Arabidopsis thaliana: one gene and its partner. The protein of the gene in region 1 interacts with the protein of each later gene in a biochemical or structural test. Each region holds a gene or a part of one and is shown in the gene's direction. Other genes may lie near its edges.

Region 1 (5,138 bases):
CTCCATTATGTAATTGACCATATATATGGAGCGTTTATGCACCGCACCAAGATGACCCCACCCTTCTTCTCTCGAGGTTGGGGTGGTCCCAATCTCGAATTGCTCGAGCGTATGGTTCAACGCCTCTTCCCTCTTGAGGTTCAAGGTCAGAATTGGCCACCGCCTCTGGTTCGTCCAGTCTGGAGAACTGTTTGGGAGACAAAGACCGCTACTTTGAGAGAAGGTGTTTTCCAGACTCCTTGTGCCGATGAGCTTACCGCTGCTTTGCCTCCGGAGTCTCGCACAGCCAGGGTTGCTTGGCTTGTCCCCAAAAACGTTCCTCCCCAAAAGATGGCTTGTGTGGTTCATCTTGCAGGTACCATTATTGATTCTTCTCTGTTTAGAATAGATTATAGGTATATACACTAAAGTGACCACAAGGAGACCTTAAATTTGGTGTTTTGAAGCCTAGTTGTTAGAAGGGCTTGTCTATGTGATCTTAATTTGTTCATAGCCCTTCCAGGTTATTGTCTTTTTACAATTGCTCTTGATTTGTAAATATCATATCTTTCTGATGATGTGTGGCATTGTTGTAGGCACAGGTGATCATACATATGACCGAAGATTGCGTTTGGGTGGACCGTTGGTGAAACAAAACATTGCAACAATGGTGTTGGAAAGGTAATAAAAGAGACTTGTTTCTCCCCCTTGATGAAAGCTTAAGAGCAAATCATTTTGCTTTGACCGCTTTTGAAGCTTTTTGCCATGTTTTTGATCAAACATAGATAATGCCACTGCAGCCCTTTCTATGGCCAAAGGCGTCCCTTTCTTCAATGCGGTGCGAGACTCCTCTGTGTTAGTGATCTACTTTTGCTAGGGAGGGCAACAATCGAAGAGTCCCGCAGTCTTATTCACTGGCTAGACACTGAGGAAGGCTTTGGAAAGATGGGTGTTTGTGGGCTAAGTATGGGTAAGTTACATTTATCTTCTTCTATGAACAACTTGTGAGCTAATGCATTGAGTTAAATTGGATGAATAAGTGTTAGATCTGCGTTTTCACCAAGGTTATCCAAAGTTTAAACTGTGTTGTGGATGTCGCTAGTTGGATGGTCTGGTATAGGTTTCCTGCAGTAGTTGTGGGGATGGTAATTGGCTTTCTACATATATCTATAGTAAAGTAAAGTAGCCGCTCCTAGTTATCGTGCTTCATAAGATAACAATCCAACTCCTCAATAAGCTTCTCAAATGCATATGCACCCATAGATTTAGGTTCAAGTGTTCCATCTAGGGATCTATGCGGCTACAGCTTCATGCATTGATTGAGTTGCTTATCCTTTTCCTTTCACTTGAAACTTCAAACTGATAAAGGTGGATGAATATATTAGGAGGAGTACATGCTTCGATGGTTGGATCGCTTCATCCAACACCAGTTGCAACACTTCCATTCCTATCTCCGCACTCTGCTGTTGTTGCATTCTGCGAAGGAATATTAAAGTATGGGACTGCTTGGGAGGCACTGAGGGAGGAACTTGCAGCACAGAAGATCACAATGACTCTTGATGAAGTGAGAGAGCGGATGCGGAATGTTCTCTCCCTCACAGACGTCACTCGCTTCCCTATTCCCAAAAACCCTGATGCTGTTATCTTTGTTGCTGCAACTGTAAGTAGAAAAGTTATTCCGAAACTCGAAACATCAAACAATATGTTTGGAGACACATTACTGGTTGCTGATTATATGATTTGTGTAGGATGATGGATACATACCAAAACACTCAGTGTTGGAGCTTCAAAAGGCGTGGCCTGGTTCAGAAGTGAGATGGGTCACAGGTGGACACGTGTCTTCCTTTATACTTCACAATGATGAGTTTCGCAGAGCAATCGTGGACGGTCTCGATAGATTAGACTGGAAGGAGTCATGGTGAGGTATAACATGCGTAACACAGCCCCTTTTTAACACAAAGGGAGGGGTCATTATGTAAATGTCTTAATCTCCTCTTGTTGTATCATTTGTGTATGTTAGGAATAAGATTCTTTGCGCTTTCAAAAGTGGTGGGCTCTGATATTTATTTGTCTTGTGTTGTTTTTGTCCCAACACATAGCAACCATTTTAGGGGTTTTCGCTCATTACATTCCATTAATATGTCATATACATTGGATCTTTAACATTGTTTTTCTTTGCGCTCTTTTCTAGCATGTGTTTTATATGAAATGAAATGATTGTACTCACTATGAATGATGCGGTAACTAGCGTATATATCTTATACACAATGAAAAACACATGCTAAAACATTTGTATACCTAACTATTTGGTGCAGTGTGCCAGTGACTATCATACGGTCAAATTATTGAATAGTAGAGATATATGTACCATGCTTGTGAATTAAATTTATGTTGTGAAAAGAATATTGTACGTTGGGAGTAGTGTAGAACCCTAACTGTACAAAATCAGTAACATTACACAGCTGTGTTCCATTGAAGTCTCTGCTTATATACAAGAACTTGCTCATTCCTCAAAGCATCCACACATAATCACGATGAAGCTCTTTGTTCATCTCTCTATCTTCTTCTCCATCCTCTTCATCACTCTCCCATCTTCTTACAGCTGCACCGAAAATGACAAGAATGCCCTCCTTCAAATCAAGAAAGCACTTGGCAATCCTCCCCTTCTATCCTCCTGGAACCCCCGAACCGACTGTTGTACCGGCTGGACCGGCGTCGAATGCACTAACCGTCGCGTTACCGGTCTCAGCGTTACCTCCGGCGAAGTCTCCGGTCAGATCTCGTACCAGATCGGCGACCTCGTTGACCTCCGTACACTAGATTTCAGCTACCTGCCACACCTCACCGGAAACATCCCACGCACCATCACCAAACTCAAGAACCTCAACACTCTCTACTTGAAGCACACTAGTCTCTCCGGTCCGATTCCTGATTACATCAGCGAGCTCAAGAGCCTCACGTTCTTGGACCTTTCTTTTAACCAATTTACCGGTCCAATTCCCGGTTCGCTATCTCAGATGCCGAAGCTTGAAGCCATTCAAATCAACGATAATAAGCTAACCGGTTCTATACCAAACTCTTTCGGTTCTTTTGTTGGCAACGTCCCTAATCTCTACTTGTCTAACAATAAGCTGTCAGGTAATTAGCCATCATTTTCCATTTCTTTAATAGTTAATACTATGCTTTTGGTCAAATGTTTATTTATTAGTTTTTGGCTTGGCTTGTGTTCAAAGTCAAATGTTTATTTATGTCGGAATCGTAGAACTAGCCTCGTGCCTTAAAGTGTTAATGTAACCACTAACCAATGAAGATTTTATAGTGGGATTACCCTTAACTAAACTAGTTACTTACTTATATTTGGTAATTGGTCCCCAACAAAACACAAAGAAACTTTTATAGTTAAGATCTCGCACCAAATAAGATTTTGTTGATAAATTTCTAATCCCGGTTTAATGAAATTTTTGCATTGCAGGAAAAATACCGGAATCGTTGTCTAAATACGACTTCAACGCAGTGGATTTGTCGGGAAATGGTTTCGAAGGAGATGCCTTTATGTTCTTCGGACGGAACAAAACAACAGTACGAGTGGATTTGTCGAGAAACATGTTTAATTTCGATCTCGTCAAGGTTAAGTTCGCTAGAAGCATAGTTTCGTTGGATCTGAGCCAGAACCATATCTACGGGAAGATACCACCAGCACTGACTAAACTACACCTCGAGCATTTCAACGTGAGCGACAACCATCTCTGCGGAAAAATCCCAAGTGGCGGTCTACTTCAGACCTTTGAACCATCTGCCTTCGCTCACAACATCTGTCTTTGTGGAACTCCCCTTAAGGCTTGTTAATTTGGTTTAATCTTGGCGGAAGAATAAAAATAATGTTGAATATGTTATGATGATGTGTTCATTATCACCGCCAAACCAAGTTTATTGTTTCTTTGTTATGAATTTAATTTAATGGCAAGAATTGGTTACGTAAGAATGTTGTGAGGTATATTCACAAGTCTAATCTTTATAACACTAGATAAGTCCGCCTAAATAGATGGGTGTAAAATGTAACTGTAATTTTTTATCGATAATATTTAAATTTTGAATAGTAAAATAATAATCTATACATTGTTCTTGATATATAATTTTGAATAGTAAAATAGTAGTCTTATGCATTTTATTTTATAATACCCATTCAATCTTATTGATGATATTTGAAGTCTAAATAGTAACTTACACACTTTTTCTTTATTATAATTTAGTATTTAGAAGAAAAGAACAAATTTTTATCTTACATATTCAATTTTGTAATACAATTTAACTATCTATTTCATAAAAAACTCGATTTTAATTATATACACTTCATCTTACTTGATAATGATTTCATGTCAAAATAATATATATGAGATCAAATCTATATCTTAGTTAATATTAAAAATTATTAACAATTAACAAAACATAATTAATAATAATAAAAATTTTGTTAATACCATACATATTAAAAATTTGACCAATAACATATATAAATATTTTTGGTTAATTTTCCTTTTGGTTAAGAAAAATAAAATGTAATATTTTTTAGATATATATATATGAATTAGTATATGTTAATAATGATTTATTTTTTTGTTTTCTATTTCTTTAAGAAGAAAAAATTTAATTGATTTTTTTTTTAGTATTTCTATTTCTTTAAGAAGAAAAAAATTAATTATGTTCTTACACGTGTCAACATCTGATCGATAGACTTGACACATGGCATAATCCTATGAGTTAGTAATTTTCAAAACCATACTTTACATAACAAAATATATGCGATTCCATTACTCGATTTTTTTAAGTCACTTCTAGCTATTTTATATTTGAGCAACCGATAAACTAAGAACAGAACAAAGACAGAAGTGTTAGAATTGAGTGGTGCAGTGACGAACGTATGGTTAAATTATTGAATATCGTATCAAATAGTTAAAACAACTAAATAAAAATATATATATGCACCATGCTTTATGAGTTATGAGATGAATTGAATTTATGTTATAAAAAGGTTATTGTACGTTAGAACTTTTAGGAGTAGTGTAGAACCCAAACTGTACAAAATCAGTAACATTACACAGCTGTGTTCCATTGAAGTCTCTGTTATATAGATCACAAGTTGTTTAACTGCTCAAAGTAAC
Region 2 (7,801 bases), on another chromosome or scaffold:
TAACTCTTGCTAATTAAATATACTACTAGAGAAGGTAAATTACATGCAGTTAAGCTATACTATTTTTTCTAATTGCAAGAAAGAAAGAAAAAGTACAAAAGAAAAGAAAGCACATTGCAAGTGGATGTATATATAGTTATAGGGAAATAAATATGAATATGGACTGTATATACATATAGGTTTCTCTTATCTCTATCAAATTACCTTAAATGGGTTCATAAAGATGGAGATCAAAGACTACACATCACATGCTACTCTCCCTCTTCTTTTGGCATAACCTTACTCCATTTATACATTGTGCTCCTCAATTATTCAACATTTTTTAAAAATAACTTATTTAACAAAATGTTAGAAAATATCTACCCAATTTTTTTCTTCCACATACGAGCTACAAAGATCTTTATCAAATAAAACAAGAAAGATTATTAATCCATATTTTGGGTTAAATTTTAATCCATTTAGCCAATTAGGAGAACTATTTTAACAGTTAGATACTTTTCAACAAAATTTATTAAGTAGTCACCTATGTATATTCATATAGTAGTTTCACAAACAATATGGAGAGCTGTGATCTTGAAGAGGGCGACAAAAGTCAAAAAGAAAATGTAAAAAAAGAGAGAGAGATTAAAGTAGTTGGAGAAGAGAGAAAAGTCTGGTTACCTTCTAATTGAGTCAGAAGCATTACACTTAAATAACTTTCCAAATTAAGCCCTACGTCTTGTCCAGCCCCTTAAAAGTACGCTTCATCTCCCTATTTCCCCTATAAACCCTAAAACCCTATTTATCTTATTAATTTATCATTTTTTTTATATGTCAATATCACAACAAGTAAACATCATCAACTTCAAATCTCACTAACATAAATAGTATGCTAATTTTCTTCACTATCTGAGTAATTTTCTCCTTCTTTTTACATCATTCGATTCTATATTTGCCACACCATTAAATAGATAAGTATATTGGTTCTTACTACTAATAATCAGTTTAGCCATATATCTAATTACACAGTTTTCTTTTATATGTTACTTTATATTTGTACACCATCAGTTACTATATACGGAATAAATTACACCTCATCATGTAATTACAATATTATCATAAATTTTTTGAAATTCTATTCTTTAATATTTTCAGTATCCAGAATCCATTTTCTTATATTTATTCTGGCAAAATAATGTAAAATGGTATCAAATATACAACACCATATATTTGTTTATAAATAACTTCCTTAATTAGTGAAACAAATTTTCCTGCAGAATGTCACTTAAATCTTTAAAACAATTCACAAAAGAAAAGGGAATAGAGCTGAAATTTTTTCCTCTTTAAAAAGATCAAGATTTAGTAAAAACTAGAAACAAAGAAGAAGATCGATATTTGTTGTAACAAAAAAATGTACTGATCAGATTTACCCAAAGATTTTAGTGCCTCAAAAACTTTCACATGAAAAGCAAAGACAAGTAATGGTAAGTAGAGTCTGCATCTCATGAGTGATTGCCCAACTTGAACCCTCTTTTCATTTAGACCTTTGTGAAAGACCACACAAGAACTACCCACCAATAACTCTCTCTTTTTTTCTTCATTTCCAAAAACTATTTATTCATTTCTACAATTTCTCAATTTGGGGGTGTCCTTAATAAGTATTATATTTATGAAAAGTCCGGATGTATGGTGGGTGTTATTTATGGTAATTAACACTATTTATTAATAATATTTTTCATGTGATTTCAAAAGCTGATGTACTCATGCTTTGTGAACCTTTAGATTGCTCTATGTCAATCTTTTATTTTAACCTATCATATGTCTAAATGTACTGAAAAGAAACACCAGTTTAATTAATTATACTTCCCTCATATATAACTATCAACCAAGTACAAAACTTTTGTCAATTCTCAAAATCAACTTTCACCACATAATTATCTAACATGTGTATGTTCCAAAACCAGTTTAAATAGAATTACTTTTCAGAAAATACATGTATATTAACTCTATCTAATAAAGAAGAAACACATACTTATCTCATAGATTCCATTCATAAAACTATGCTTTAGTGAGTAAGAAAACCAGTAATCAAACACAAATTGACAAGACACTATATGGATGTAAAAAGTGGGGAAAAATGGTGATAAATAGTAGAGAAAATTAAAAAGAAAAAAAATATTCCTTTATAAATGTATATACCCATCTCTTCACCAGCACAACCTTACCTTCCATTTTCTGCAACTTCTCCAAATCTCATACTTTCCAGAAAATCATTTTCCCAAGAAAAATAAAACTTTCCCCTTTGTTCTTCTCCCCCCAACAGGTCAGGCTAGTATTTTGTTGTTCCCCAATCCTTTCAAACATTATCTTCTTCATAATATTACTTTGCTTCACTTCTTTTGGTCCTTAAACCAAATTTTTGTTCTTCTTTAGTTTCCTTTTTTCCCGTTTTGATTTGATTCTTTTTATGTTATTTAGAGAGAAACAAGATTCACAAATTCTCTGATCTTCTTTAACTCTTTAAAACTTTTCTTTTTCACACTCTAGATTTAAATTATCCCTATGGTTACAAAACAATTTTGTTCTTAGTTTATAACTTGTGTATTACCATCCTTTCTTGATTAACTCTTGTTAGGAGAATATGAATGTAAGATCAATAAAGTTCTTCAACTTTATAATTCCTTCTATAAGATGTGTGTCGGCAACAGAATTAAATTAAATCTTTATAGTTTAACTTTAATCTCAACCATAATTCAAAAGAATAGAAAACATGAAGAATCTTGAGTCTTTTCAAGAAAATCTTGATTGGTTTTTTGTTGGATTCTTGTAATTCTGTACTAATCAAATTTTGCCCTAAACGTTTTTGGCTTTGGAGCAGCAATCACGGCGTACCAATCGGAGCTAGGAGGAGATTCCTCTCCCTTGAGGAAATCTGGGAGAGGAAAGATCGAAATCAAACGGATCGAGAACACAACGAATCGTCAAGTCACTTTTTGCAAACGTAGAAATGGTTTGCTCAAGAAAGCTTACGAGCTCTCTGTTCTTTGTGATGCTGAAGTCGCACTCATCGTCTTCTCTAGCCGTGGTCGTCTCTATGAGTACTCTAACAACAGGTTTCTTCTTCTTCTCGTGCTCTGTTCTTACTTTATTAATAATTAAATTATTTTTAAAGTCCGATTTAGGGTTTTATGTTTATGTTAAAGCATAAATCTTTTACGAGGGTTTTCGATCTTCTAAGCTAGATTTGATTCTCTTCTTCTTGAATGCTCTTATGGGTAGGATTATTTTTCACTTTTTTCCTTCATATTCCACACACATATATATATAAACACACTAACATTAGTGGGAATATTTGTTTGATATGTTTATTTTATTTACTTCGGGGGTTTTTGTAACAATTTTGTAGATCTAATTTCTTGTTCTTCATGTGTATATTAATTTTCCCTTAAGACTTAAATAAAAAGAGAGAATTTGTTATATATAGATATATGAAGTGAGGGAAATGGTACAAAGTTAAAGGAGATCTGAGTGAGAGTTAGATAATAAATGAAAAGAAATAAGAAACCATCAGGGTTTTTTCTAATGTGGAGTTTTAGATTCAGTTTTGTAGAACTAAGATTCACTTTGTTGGGTGTTCTTTCTTCACTCATTTCTGTTATTATAATAATAATAAAATCTTATATCTTTCTATTTTCCTTACTAACAAGTACTTGAAGATTTAGATATATTTATAGATCTGGTGTTGTAATAGGTAAAAACTTGATTTTTATGACTATAAAAGTAAGTTTTGGGAAACAAATTGGGGAGAGAGTAAGGAAGGACTATGAGGTCATATCTTCTGTTTTGTGATCATCCATCCTCCATTGTTGTTAATGTCTGTGTCTCTCTTTTTCTTCTCTTCTTTCTCTTACTTTCCTTTCTTATCTCTAGCTCTCTTTCTCTCTCATGAATTATATCATATCATATATTTGATACAAACACATGTGATGGTAAGTGAGAGTGAATAAGGTGAAACTAGCTAGATTTTTGAGTTTTCATGAAATTTTAACTTATATGAGTGATAGAAAATAATGGAACTTATACGTACATGTAGGACAATTTAGATGGTTATCTAAGTTTTTGTTTTTGTTTTCTCTTGAGAATGTTAAATGTTAGTGTTATTTTTGTAGTTTTGGAAAATTATATATGAGCTAAGATTAGTTTAGAAGTGGTCAAAAGAAACATAGATTTGAAATTTCAACTGAATTTTCAAGATTTCAAATAGTCAATGAAACAAGGAGGTAATTAAGACAAATTAGCTTATGGGGACTCTTTTTTGTTATTCCTTAAAATTACTCTTTTTAAAATTAAAAATAACTAATCTCATTTCGAACTACATTACTCAAACTAGTAATCTCTAATTCGACACGCAATTTCCAAATACTTATTAGTAGAGAGTCCCACGTGATTACTTTCTTCTCCACCAAAACATAAAACATGTCAAGATTAAATGGTGTTTGAAAATTAAAAGATCAATTTTCTTAATCGTTTACAGTTGTCAACTCTCATGTCCTGAAATATATAATTCTCATGTCCAAAACAAGAAAAGCTAACAACGACTTCAAATTAAATCAGTCAATCAAAATTAGTCTTCATTTACCTACTAATTTCTTTTTATATATCCGATGGGTACTCTACGAAATCAGAGTTTCGTTTCTTTATTTATTTTCTTTTATAAGATTTTTGAGGTTTTTTCAGAGGTTGGAATTGAGCGCAAGATTAGGTTTTGGGTCTGTAAGATTTGTTGTCTTTGTTAAAGAATCTTTGATCACGTCATCACTCAGATATTATTTCTTTTTATTTTTCACTTGTATTTTTACTAATTTATTATAAAGTTTTGTTAGTTTCAGTTCTTGACTTCTGACAAGAAGGTTTTATGTCATAATGAATTAATTTGTAACCTATTTATAAATTCAAAAATGTCATCATATTACTACTTTTGACCATTTAATATTAGATTTCTCATTTGGTCAATACCCAATGTTCATATTACATATATAGAGACAAAAATTATAAGGATACTAAATTGTTCATATTTCTTGGAAGTAAAAAGATTAATGATCACTGAATAAATAGATTTGGCATAGAAGTATAGCATTGGAATTGCTTCAACATCTTTGGTGTAGATAGATTTATGCAATTTCTCTTTCTTTTTGAAGTATCTTTTTTTTTTCTAGAGAGAGAATAATGTTAGGGATTTTTATCATTTTCTCTCTCATTATGGGTACTGAGAGGAAAGTGAGATTTTTAGTACGGATCCAATAGTTTAAGAGTTTGGTCTGCCTTCTACGATCCAAAAAAATCTACGGTCATGATCTCTCCATCGAGAAGGTTGAGAGTTCAGACATCAAAGTCTATAATATGTCATTGTAATACGTATTTGTGTATATATATCTATGTACAAGTACATATACAGGAAACTCAAGAAAAAAGAATAAATGGTAAATTTAATTATATTCCAAATAAGGAAAGTATGGAACGTTGTGATGTTACTCGGACAAGTCATTTAGTTACATCCATCACGTTTAAATTTAATCCAATGGTTACAATTTTAATACTATCAAATGTCTATTGGATTTATACCCAATGTGTTAATGGGTTGTTGACACATGTCACATGTCTGAAACCCTAGACATGTTCAGACCAATCATGTCACTCTAATTTTGCCAGCATGGCAGTTGGCAGCCAATCACTAGCTCGATAAATTTAAGGTTTCAGAGGAATTTTAATTTATTTAGGGTTCATATTGTTTCATAAAATGATTCTTTATTTGTTACAACTTTAAGGAAATATTTTATTAACTATTTAATTGTTCCCTTTTCTTATATTACTTTTGTTTTTTCTTCACATCATGTGTCACATTAAGTTGCATTTCTTCTGACTCAAAAGAACCGATGTTTGCTTTTAAGGTTTCGTATTAGAATCACTTAACTGTGCAAGTGGTCGATTTGACCCTATCAATTTTATTTTTTATTACTTATCAAAATGCAGATTTAAGCGTAGATTAAGTTTAGAAAATAGGTAGTTAATAGGTCTAATTAACTTATTAATTCCTTTAAAAAAATTATTGCAGTGTAAAAGGGACTATTGAGAGGTACAAGAAGGCAATATCGGACAATTCTAACACCGGATCGGTGGCAGAAATTAATGCACAGGTAAGTGGTAACTTAATATTACACGAATGATTTTAATTAATATATGATGACATGACAACATTGTTCATTCTTTTACTCTTTTTTTTTTTGTTGTTGTTGTAGTATTATCAACAAGAATCAGCCAAATTGCGTCAACAAATAATCAGCATACAAAACTCCAACAGGTTAATTATCTAACTGACTTGAAATATTTGATTACTTGGTTGTTATTAACTATTTGATATATTAACATATGTTGATAAATCAATTAGGCAATTGATGGGTGAGACGATAGGGTCAATGTCTCCCAAAGAGCTCAGGAACTTGGAAGGCAGATTAGAGAGAAGTATTACCCGAATCCGATCCAAGAAGGTAATTCTATTTTTTTTATAAATGCTTCAATATAATATCAAATTAAATCTATATGCCTTGTTGCTAATTTTTGTTTAATTTTACAGAATGAGCTCTTATTTTCTGAAATCGACTACATGCAGAAAAGAGTAAGAAATAAATCTTAACTTAATTTCTATTCTTAATATGTTCTTATAATAATTTTGCTCATTTGCATTGCACCGATTAAGCAGGAAGTTGATTTGCATAACGATAACCAGATTCTTCGTGCAAAGGTAAAAGTACACATTATATATCAATTTCTATAATTTTCCCTATTGTTTCAATAAATATTATATGAAAACGATTAAAATGGTGAAAGTACTTGTAGATAAATAGTTTATGACATATATTTGTGTAATGTAGATAGCTGAAAATGAGAGGAACAATCCGAGTATAAGTCTAATGCCAGGAGGATCTAACTACGAGCAGCTTATGCCACCACCTCAAACGCAATCTCAACCGTTTGATTCACGGAATTATTTCCAAGTCGCGGCATTGCAACCTAACAATCACCATTACTCATCCGCGGGTCGCCAAGACCAAACCGCTCTCCAGTTAGTGTAAGGACACAAAATCTTGCTCCGATCAATCATTCTAGTCTTATATTATTAATCGGTCCATTTTGTAAAACTTGACAGCATGGATTTGGTCTTTTATGCTGTTTTGTAGGTAATATAGGCTGAAGGAAATGGCCGGGAGTGAATAAAAACCAGAATTGGGTTGAGCAAGCAATATAAAGCTAATGCATGTTATATATATATTTATCCCATGAATGTTGTATCAGTGAATTTTATGCTTATGTTGATGTGAAATTAATATCTTAAAGACATGTCATTAATGTGCTTAATTTGCTTCAAAACATCTATGTGTATAAGTGTACTATTAGTTCAATTGTTGTATTTAATTACCAATTCCTGCTCTATTAATGATTTTATTATAGAAAAGTCTCAATATGATAATGATATATATTCATGTGCTGAGTTCCATCCTCCTCCTCCTTCTCCCCATGTGGTACAGTTGCAAAATGTCGAAACATTCGTTCATTTTGTAGCTGCCTACCAGGAATACATTCACCACCCGGTCTCAATATCTCGCGTCTTGCTCGGTGAAAACACATACAAGAGTATTAACCATATTTTCTTTAAATGCACATACAATAGCTTATCTCTGCCTAGCTTCATTTCGTAAACCAAGAGCAAACATTATCGGATGGCTCCATACCTGTTCTCAATAAATCATGGTCATAATCAAGCTCA

The links. The genes of interacting proteins can lie anywhere in the genome.
Region 2: the proteins of FLR1 (region 1) and AG form a complex in vitro, tested with the Arabidopsis thaliana proteins (one study listed by BioGRID).

What each region holds. Positions count from the first base shown.
Region 1 is NC_003074.8:3,873,451-3,878,588, reverse strand, and holds FLR1 (Leucine-rich repeat (LRR) family protein), read left to right. Parts: upstream 1-2,286; 5' UTR 2,287-2,513; coding exon 2,514-3,117; intron 3,118-3,451; coding exon 3,452-3,825; 3' UTR 3,826-4,102; downstream 4,103-5,138. Other genes in the region: AT3G12150 (alpha/beta hydrolase family protein), read left to right, coding at 1-355, 576-660, 780-949, 1,365-1,639, 1,728-1,901. UniProt on the Arabidopsis thaliana protein: Promotes flowering transition in long days (LD).
Region 2 is NC_003075.7:10,381,055-10,388,855, forward strand, and holds AG (K-box region and MADS-box transcription factor family protein), read left to right. Parts: upstream 1-1,801; 5' UTR 1,802-2,626; intron 2,627-2,857; 5' UTR 2,858-2,862; coding exon of another isoform or gene 2,863-2,986; coding exon 2,987-3,092; intron 3,093-5,927; coding exon 5,928-6,017; intron 6,018-6,091; coding exon of another isoform or gene 6,092-6,099; coding exon 6,100-6,173; intron 6,174-6,275; coding exon 6,276-6,337; intron 6,338-6,424; coding exon 6,425-6,524; intron 6,525-6,610; coding exon 6,611-6,652; intron 6,653-6,736; coding exon 6,737-6,778; coding exon of another isoform or gene 6,779-6,811; exon of another isoform or gene 6,812-6,908; coding exon 6,909-7,105; intron 7,106-7,214; coding exon 7,215-7,218; 3' UTR 7,219-7,485; downstream 7,486-7,801. UniProt on the Arabidopsis thaliana protein: Probable transcription factor involved in the control of organ identity during the early development of flowers. Is required for normal development of stamens and carpels in the wild-type flower.